Neurospora crassa OR74A: one gene and its partner. The protein of the gene in region 1 interacts with the protein of each later gene in a biochemical or structural test. Links are inferred from orthologs where the notes say so. Each region holds a gene or a part of one and is shown on either strand. Other genes may lie near its edges.

What was found.
Region 2: the proteins of NCU03191 (region 1) and NCU07509 form a complex in vitro, tested with the Saccharomyces cerevisiae proteins (2 studies listed by BioGRID, with this or other methods). The link is inferred for Neurospora crassa OR74A from reciprocal best matches to the Saccharomyces cerevisiae genes MRS6 and BET2.

Annotation. Positions count from the first base shown.
Region 1 is NC_026501.1:4,857,778-4,861,937, reverse strand, and holds NCU03191 (rab protein geranylgeranyltransferase component A), read left to right. Parts: upstream 1-1,145; coding exon 1,146-1,225; intron 1,226-1,317; coding exon 1,318-2,381; intron 2,382-2,585; coding exon 2,586-2,914; 3' UTR 2,915-2,932; intron 2,933-3,081; 3' UTR 3,082-3,351; downstream 3,352-4,160. Other genes in the region: NCU03190 (Rec8), read right to left, coding at 3,457-4,160. UniProt on the Saccharomyces cerevisiae protein: Substrate-binding subunit (component A) of the Rab geranylgeranyltransferase (GGTase) complex. Binds unprenylated Rab proteins and presents the substrate peptide to the catalytic component B.
Region 2 is NC_026501.1:355,004-358,549, reverse strand, and holds NCU07509 (geranylgeranyltransferase beta subunit), read right to left. Parts: upstream 2,148-3,546; 5' UTR 2,129-2,147; coding exon 1,696-2,128; intron 1,628-1,695; coding exon 1,008-1,627; 3' UTR 659-1,007; downstream 1-658. UniProt on the Saccharomyces cerevisiae protein: Catalyzes the transfer of a geranyl-geranyl moiety from geranyl-geranyl pyrophosphate to proteins having the C-terminal -XCC or -XCXC, where both cysteines may become modified. Acts on YPT1 and SEC4.

The DNA of each region.
Region 1 (4,160 bases):
GCTGGCTGCCGGCCTACAGGCGGAAAATGGGCGATCCTCTCGGGGCGGATGTGGAGGACGTTGATCGGCGACAAGATAGATGGATGATGGGCCTTGTCTAGATGCAGTCATAGGATCTCTGGGGTTTCAAACACCGACTATGGGCATGAAGTCATGATCTATCAGGAGTCAATATTATCTCGACGGAGAACCTCGGCTTGGTCATGCCAATGGACAGAGAGACAGAGAGTACGAAGAAGATACCCATATGTTGGATGCACCCTGGTTGCGGCCGGAGGAGGATAAAACACCACCAATTCTACGGAGAGAGATGGGCGACTGTGCCATTCAAAACCATCTTGTCCTGTCTTGTCCTGTTTGTACTCGAGGAGCAATGCGATGTAAATGGATACCCACTTGGAACATCCTACAACAAAAGCGCTCTGTTCAGCTTCGAATTCAGCCGTTACGACTCTGTACAACATAGTGATCAATGATGATGATCGCACAAAGCCATCATGATATGATGCAAGATAACTTGACGGCTAACAACATCGCTGCGCATAAAAACCGCAAAGGTGTGAGCTTCTGAGTCGGAAAGTCATCTACAACTTCTGGGCATCGCGGAGTTGAGCTGGCAAAGCAGTCAAGACATTTGCAATTTTTATAGCATGGTTGCAAAAATGTGCCGATCGTTCGACCCGCCCTCACATGTGGTGATTCTAAGGCAGGAGATACAGAAGGGCTGTTTGTGGCATCAATCTGCCACTCAACTTCGGAGAAACCTAATGAAAGGCCCCCCAAGACTCCCGCGATACTGTTGGGCTGCAGAGCAGCAGCAGCAACCGCGTCTCTTCGTTGAGTGGTTGATGAGAGAAAAAGGAAAATTTGGGGTGGATGGACGTCGAGTTTTGACCACTTCGAAGCTTCGCCAGTGGCCCGTGCGTCTGCCCGTTTGTCAGGCGGGGGACGAACAACAGAAACCCACAAAAACGAAAGCTTGGGCGGGGCCGATTCAAAAAGCCACACCGGTCCGAGGAACTGCCGGCTCCGCAAGCACCAAACTTTAACTTCATTTCAAAATTGCCGCTGCAACCCTCGTTCTTTTTCCCAAGTTATTACTTCCCAACAGACTGGCAGTTCCGCGAACCACAGAGTCCCTAGTCATGGCGATGGGATCTATCGGCGATACCCTTTGGGATGTCGTCATCTGCGGCACCGGACTGCAGCAGTCTCTGCTTGCACTGTAAGCAAACTTTTCTTTCGCTCTTCTTCATCCGACTTTCATCGTTCTCCTGTCTAACTGACCGACTGACATAGCTGTTCTCCGCCTTGAAGATCCCTCTCGCGATCGGGCAAGAACATTTTGCACATAGACCCCAACGACTACTATGGCGGGGCGGAAGCGGCTTTCAGCCTGCAAGAAGCTGAGTCCTGGGTTGACCGTCTGGCCACCGAGGACAAAGGCCTCTTCAGGTCCGCGTCTATCACCAAGCCGGATGTCGTGGGTCTCTCCTTCCCCAGAGCGTACTCGCTGGCACTGGCACCGCAGTTGATCCACGCCCGCTCGGAGCTGCTATCTCAATTGGTTTCTTCCCGGGCGTACCGGCAGGTGGAATTCCTCGCCGTCGGATCGTTCTACATTTTCAAAGCACCTGTCGGCCCTGAACAGCAACCCAGCCTTGTCCGCATTCCTTCCACCCGCGAAGATGTCTTTTCAACTACTGCTATATCGGCCAAGGCGAAGCGCGGACTGATGAAGTTTCTACGGTTTGTGCTGGACTACGACAGTCCGGAGCAGAGAGATGCCTGGAAGCCTTTTGCCGATAAACCCTTGGTGGACTTCTTACAGGAGCACTTCAAGATGGATACCGAGCTCAAGACCTACATCATCACCCTCACGCTTTCGCTGGATGGCCGCATCACTACCGAGGATGGATTGTTCATCGTCCATCGCCATCTTACCTCTATGGGTCACTTTGGCCCCGGCTTTGCTGCTCTCTATCCCAAATGGGGCGGTATCTCCGAGATTGCCCAGGTCGCCTGTAGAGCCGGTGCGGTCGGTGGTGCTGTCTACATGCTTGGCGCTGGTATCAAGTCAATGGAGACTGCTACTGACGAGATCGAGCTCGAGTTGACCAGCGGCGACAAGGTGAAAACCAAGTTGCTCGTGCGTGGAGACGAAAGCGTTGGTGACGAGCCGAGCATCAGCAGGCTAGTGGCCGTTGTTGATTCTCCGCTCAAGACCTTGTTTGAGTCTACCGTCGACGGGGCGCCGACTCCCTGCGTTGCGGTCGTCGCTCTGCCTCCGGGTTCACTAACAACACCTGGCGAAGCAAACACTGACCCAGTCTATGTTTTCGCTCACTCGAGCGGCACTGGCGAATGTCCCAATGGTCAGAGTAAGTTTTATCTATTTCCTTGCTCCCTTCAATTTACCCATTTCGAGTACTATGATGATCCACATCTTGAATACTTATCTACATTGTCCAAGCTTCGGCGTTGACGATAAATACCTCTGACATTCTGATCGTACTCTCATCCGTTCAACCCTTCCGCATCATTCATAACTTGTTACGCGCAAATGGCTGACTGGAAACCAACAGGTGTCTTATACTTGTCCACAATGGTGACTCCTAACTCCAAGGAGATCTTGAGTCGCTCTCTTGAATCCTTGCTTTCCGCTGTGGACCCTGATCGAGTCCCCCAGTGCTTGTATCAGTTATACTATGAACAGGCTGCTGGTGTCAAGCAAAGTCGACTTGATGGGTTGATTCTTGATCTGCCAGGCCCATCTCTTTCCCTCTTGATGGACGATGCATCGCTGAATCATGTCCGTGAGGCGTGGAAGAAGGTCGTTGGCGGCGCAGTTGATGATGCAGAGTACATGGTCTTCACTGATCGTGAACCCGTGGATGATGATGATTATGAATGATTCTTGGTGACGACCATGGTAAGGGCTGGTCTCTTTACTGTCTTATGCACCGCCCTCCGCACACTCCGTAACATACTTGAAAAAGATTAATCTCAATTTACTTCTATTATTCGATTGCCAATCCATCTCACTGCTATCTGGTAGCTGATTTGTTGTGAATTCCTCAGTCGCCAAATCTTCTGTCAAAGTGAGCCCCAGCGTGTTGCAAAGTTGCCGTTTGCCTGAAGTCCGTTGTCCCCTTCCTATACTTCTCCGAAGATCAGCTCCCTATGTCCTCCGCAGAAACTGTGATCCTATCTTCCGCATGCGCCAGATGGCTTTTGTCAGAGGCATGATTGCTTAGCAAACCAATCAAAATGGTATCTCATCTGGCCCTTTACTCAATCATGATCCCACAGTGTAGGGGAGCACAGCATCCCGTTTCCCATTTACCCACCCGACAACCCGAACCGAGAAATAATAATAAAGAAAAGAACCGCAAGACTCGCACCGATTGCACCGATAAGTGTGCATTCTTTGCAAAACTCTCCGCATCAGCCACTTCACTCGTCACCATCCTCCTCCATCAGAGCCAGCATCTCAGCCTCCGACACCTCAACGCCCACGCGAATTTCGCCAAACGGCTGGAAGCCCTCCATGTCCTGCTCCACCTTGATTGCGTCTTTGGTCGCGAGGACCAAGACGTTGTAGAAAGCCTGAGTCGCCACCTGTCGGGTTCTGTCTCTAGGTTCATCCAACAGCTCGTCAAAGGCAACCCACTGTCTGAGAAGTCTGTCGTTTCCGTCTCCGTGGGCATGGGAAGAAGAGGGTGGAGCACCGCCGCCGCCGAGGGACCGCGTCTCCCCTCTGGCTTTGGCTACCATATTGACGTAAGCCAGGAAGTTGTGGCCGTCGCGATCTAGAGCGTCGCGCATTACTTGGGAGGTTTCGGCCGCAGCCTGGGTAGCAGTCATTTCAGCTTCGCCGGAAGGAGTACAGCGCAAGAGGTCACGGCCACCCTGAGGACCGCCAGGCAAATGCGGAAGCTGCGGTTCATCCTCTCCAGGTGGCATTATGGGGTCGGATGAGAAACCAGGGGCGCCGCCAGAGTGCAAGAAGGGCGCGTAGGATCCTGCGTCGCTGAAGCGATCAATGGGGGGAAGGTGGGCCAAGCGGCTGCCGCGGCTGTGGAGGGGACTGGCGCTCACTTGGCGGCTGGATCCGGGGTGGTGATTGTCGCCTTTCACCGATGAGCCTGGGACCAGGG
Region 2 (3,546 bases), about 4.5 Mb from region 1:
CGAATCTGAGGACAGTTTGAGGAAGGTACAATGAGATTTGTGGGCACCTTGGTGCCTGAGTGTCAGTCGGTGGGCGAGGAAAGTGGGTGAGCTCGCCTGAGAGGGAAGGAACGAAGAAGACCCAACCATCACGGATTTGGAGGGGTGAGTCTGGAAGGTGAGTGTGCAGTGCGGTACTGTAACGTAATAAATCACGATTTCTGGAGGAAGTCGCAGGAAAAGTTGATTAATCTTCGGCCCCGAGAGGTGTCCAGGTTGCCTGAGAAAACTTGCTATCAGCTCATAGAACTCACTGTTGATGTCAAAGGCAAGTGTCGTTGGTGAGACTATTTCATGTCCCTGCATCTCAATCAACGGTAACGTAACAAACGGGCAACTTCTTCAAACTGTTCTCAATGATACCATCAAGTCAGCAACTAATTGTCCAATGGTAGGCGACCAAGCTGCGAGACGGGTAGATGCAGTAACAGGTCATTACATTCAAACAAAGCTCAAGGAACAATTCAGTTTGAAAGACGAAGGAAACGATGAAGGGATCATGGCTTTATGCCTTGGGTTGCAAATGTCAGAAGAATTGAACACACCAAAGAGTGCCAACAAGAACATCAAGGAGCAAAGGTAGACAATTAGACAGTGACAACACAAAGACAGAATGTGCGAGTGGTTCAAGTGACAGAAAATTGTATTATAGGAACACTATGGAATGTCCCCTACCTAACCATGTCGATTGATGTTGGGTACTCTCAAGCAACAATAAACCAGTAGGGAGTTACTCATCTGGGCTCCAAACGCCTCACATTCCCACTGAAGGGATGCAATAACGTCTTTTGCCCAAACGAGAACGATGTTTCTCTTCTCCCGCCTTGTATCCTGCCGACGCCTGGAGTGCGTGTCGGAAGGTTATTAGATGGCAGGAGGTAAGTTGTGTTGATATCCTGTGTCATGTCACGATGATGAGATTGATAGAAGGAGCCATCGTACTGTATTCCGACAACATCACACCACACTTAACGACCCAGGACACGCTTGATGGTCGACTTGGGCATGCAATACACCTCGTCAACCGGCTCCAAGCCCGGATAGTCCAGCAAACTCAGACCCGCAATACCAAAGCAGGTGTGCCAGACATCCACCATGTCGCCAGGCCTGTCCGAGATGCCACCCTTGTCCGTGTCTTGCGAGCTCAGGATGAAGCTGGTGAGCTTCGCCTTGTCGATCCAGTGCGTCTTGCCAATCATTTCCAGACTGCTCAGCACCCACCAGCTATAGCACACGTCCTCCTTCTTTTCCGGACGACCGTTCAAGCCGCCGCCAGCGATCTGCCTCTCACTCAACCAGCGGCCCAGGCGATCAACGTCAATGAGCTCCTTGCGGCCAGCAATGGTGAGGGCAGCGACGCACGTGAAGATCTGACCAGAGTGGGACTCGGCACCAGGGCTGACACCGTAGCCGCCGTCAAAGTTGGCGCACGCAGCAATGTGGTCAACGGCCTTGTCAACATCGACAAGGTGAAGGAGGCCAAGAAGAGAAAGGGCATTGAAGGCGCCGTAAAGGAAGCGAGTGTCTTCCTCACCCCACTCATCACCCGCAAACGTGCCGGTCTGGCGGTTCTGGAGGCTGGCAATATCTGGACCCGACAGTGTCAGTACAAAGTGTCAATGGGGGTTTACCTAGGTTTGATGACAAGCAACGCACACTTTCCGACCTGTGCCTTGCCCCGGCCACGCGTCTCGAGGTCATCAAAGGCGTCGACCATGGCGAGGATCTGCACGGCACTGACGGTGGACAGCATGTGGGCATCATGGCCGGGTGCCGCTCCGAAGCCGCCGTTCTCGTGCTGGCATGATAGCACAAAGTCGATGGTCTCAGCGCGCGGGAGAGCCTCGGGGTGGCCGAGGAGGTGCAGAGCGGTCAAGCCCCAGTAGAGGCCATTGAGACGCAGATGCTCCGTCAACCAGTAGTCATATTCGTCCTTTCGGGAGTCGAGACTCTGGATGTACTTGACGTGGGCAGAGGTTGCGAGCTGCAGCTCTTGCGGGAGAGAGGTGAAGCTTTGTGTCATGTTGGAGAATTTGAGGGTTTTATGTGTGGTGCGGTGGGTGGAAGCTTGGATGGGATTAGGCTGCATTCAAGGAACCAGCATTGTGGGAACGGAAGTCGGAAGTCGGAGTTACGATTGAACGATTCCCTTCAGCCTCCATTGCCCGCCGGTACTACCCCACCATAGATGGACGCTGAGGTCTTACTTACGTAATCGGTACTTGGCAGCCACACTGCACCATTCAGACGCCATGCCAAGAAATGCCCTCTCCAACTTGCTCAATCTGGAGGAGGAAAGGCGCAATGACAATTATCATCAGAGCTCCGACAAATTCATCATCTCTTGTGACCTTGGCAGATGCCCCAAAGGCGGGACACGCGTATTTGCGAGAGTCATTTGATTTTTGGGATCTCTCGCGAGTGCAAATGAGGTAAATGAGCTTCATCTCATGAATGTCGTGATTATTTTTAAATGAAGGGCTGATAGGTTGGGCAGCAGTCGTACCGAGTAAGTGTACAGTGCACCGGCGCTGAAGATGAGGATACGAACAGTCATCGTACAGGGGGGTGAAGGCATTTGTCTCTCCATCCAAATTGAACTGGAAGACATCCCTCACCACCCACTTGGGACATTGTCCACAGCCTGATGAGGCGTGACGATCTTGTTTCTCGAAAACAGCTGGTTGACATACGATGGCAGTTTGGAATGCCTGCTTGGGCCAATTTGCGCTTCAAGATGACGAATCTGACCGGCGCTTCGAATCGGTATCCTCTCGTTTACATGGGGGGGTAGAGTAGGGCACACCGGTGTCACAGCCGATTTGAGACCGTATCTCGAAGCGAACGTTGCGACCGTCAACGTCGATGACTGGCGCAAGTGCGCAACAACGTCCGGCCATCCAGCCTCTTCCACGGCCGTCAAATCGGAAAAAAGAATGCGGTCCAATGTTACGAGATCTGGCCAGGGTAAGTGCAGTGCAGCTTTACACTATGTAGTCCTTGCAGCAGATCACGGTCTCGTGCAATCATGATCGAGACGCCTTCGGTGACGGGTCTTGGCTTGGTGTTTTGGACTTTGCAACGTGGACTGCCCAGGTCGAATCTTGCCGTGATGCATCTATGTCACTTGTGAATCGAGACTCTTTAGTCCAGGAACGGGAGGTGGTGGCTGAAACCACCGGAAAGCAAGGCCCAAGTCTCCGGTAGAGTTCCAGACTTTTGATAGGTAGCTGTAGGGCATGTTTCGACGCGATTGTTTGCCCTTGATTCACATATTCAACATGATGCCGTCATATGATTCAACAAAAGACCTCAAAGTTTGGTGAAAAAAAAGAAAAGTTGCAGTGAAGCGCTGGAAGCAACGTTGAACCCGTCCTGTCGGATTGGAGACAGCGCTTGTCGCGGAAGACATGGCCGTCCAGCAAATGGGACGAGAGAACAGTTGAGCAGCCAGTGAGAATCGAGAAAGGACAGCAACAGTTTCGGGCTTGGCCTCGCGGTGTTCCT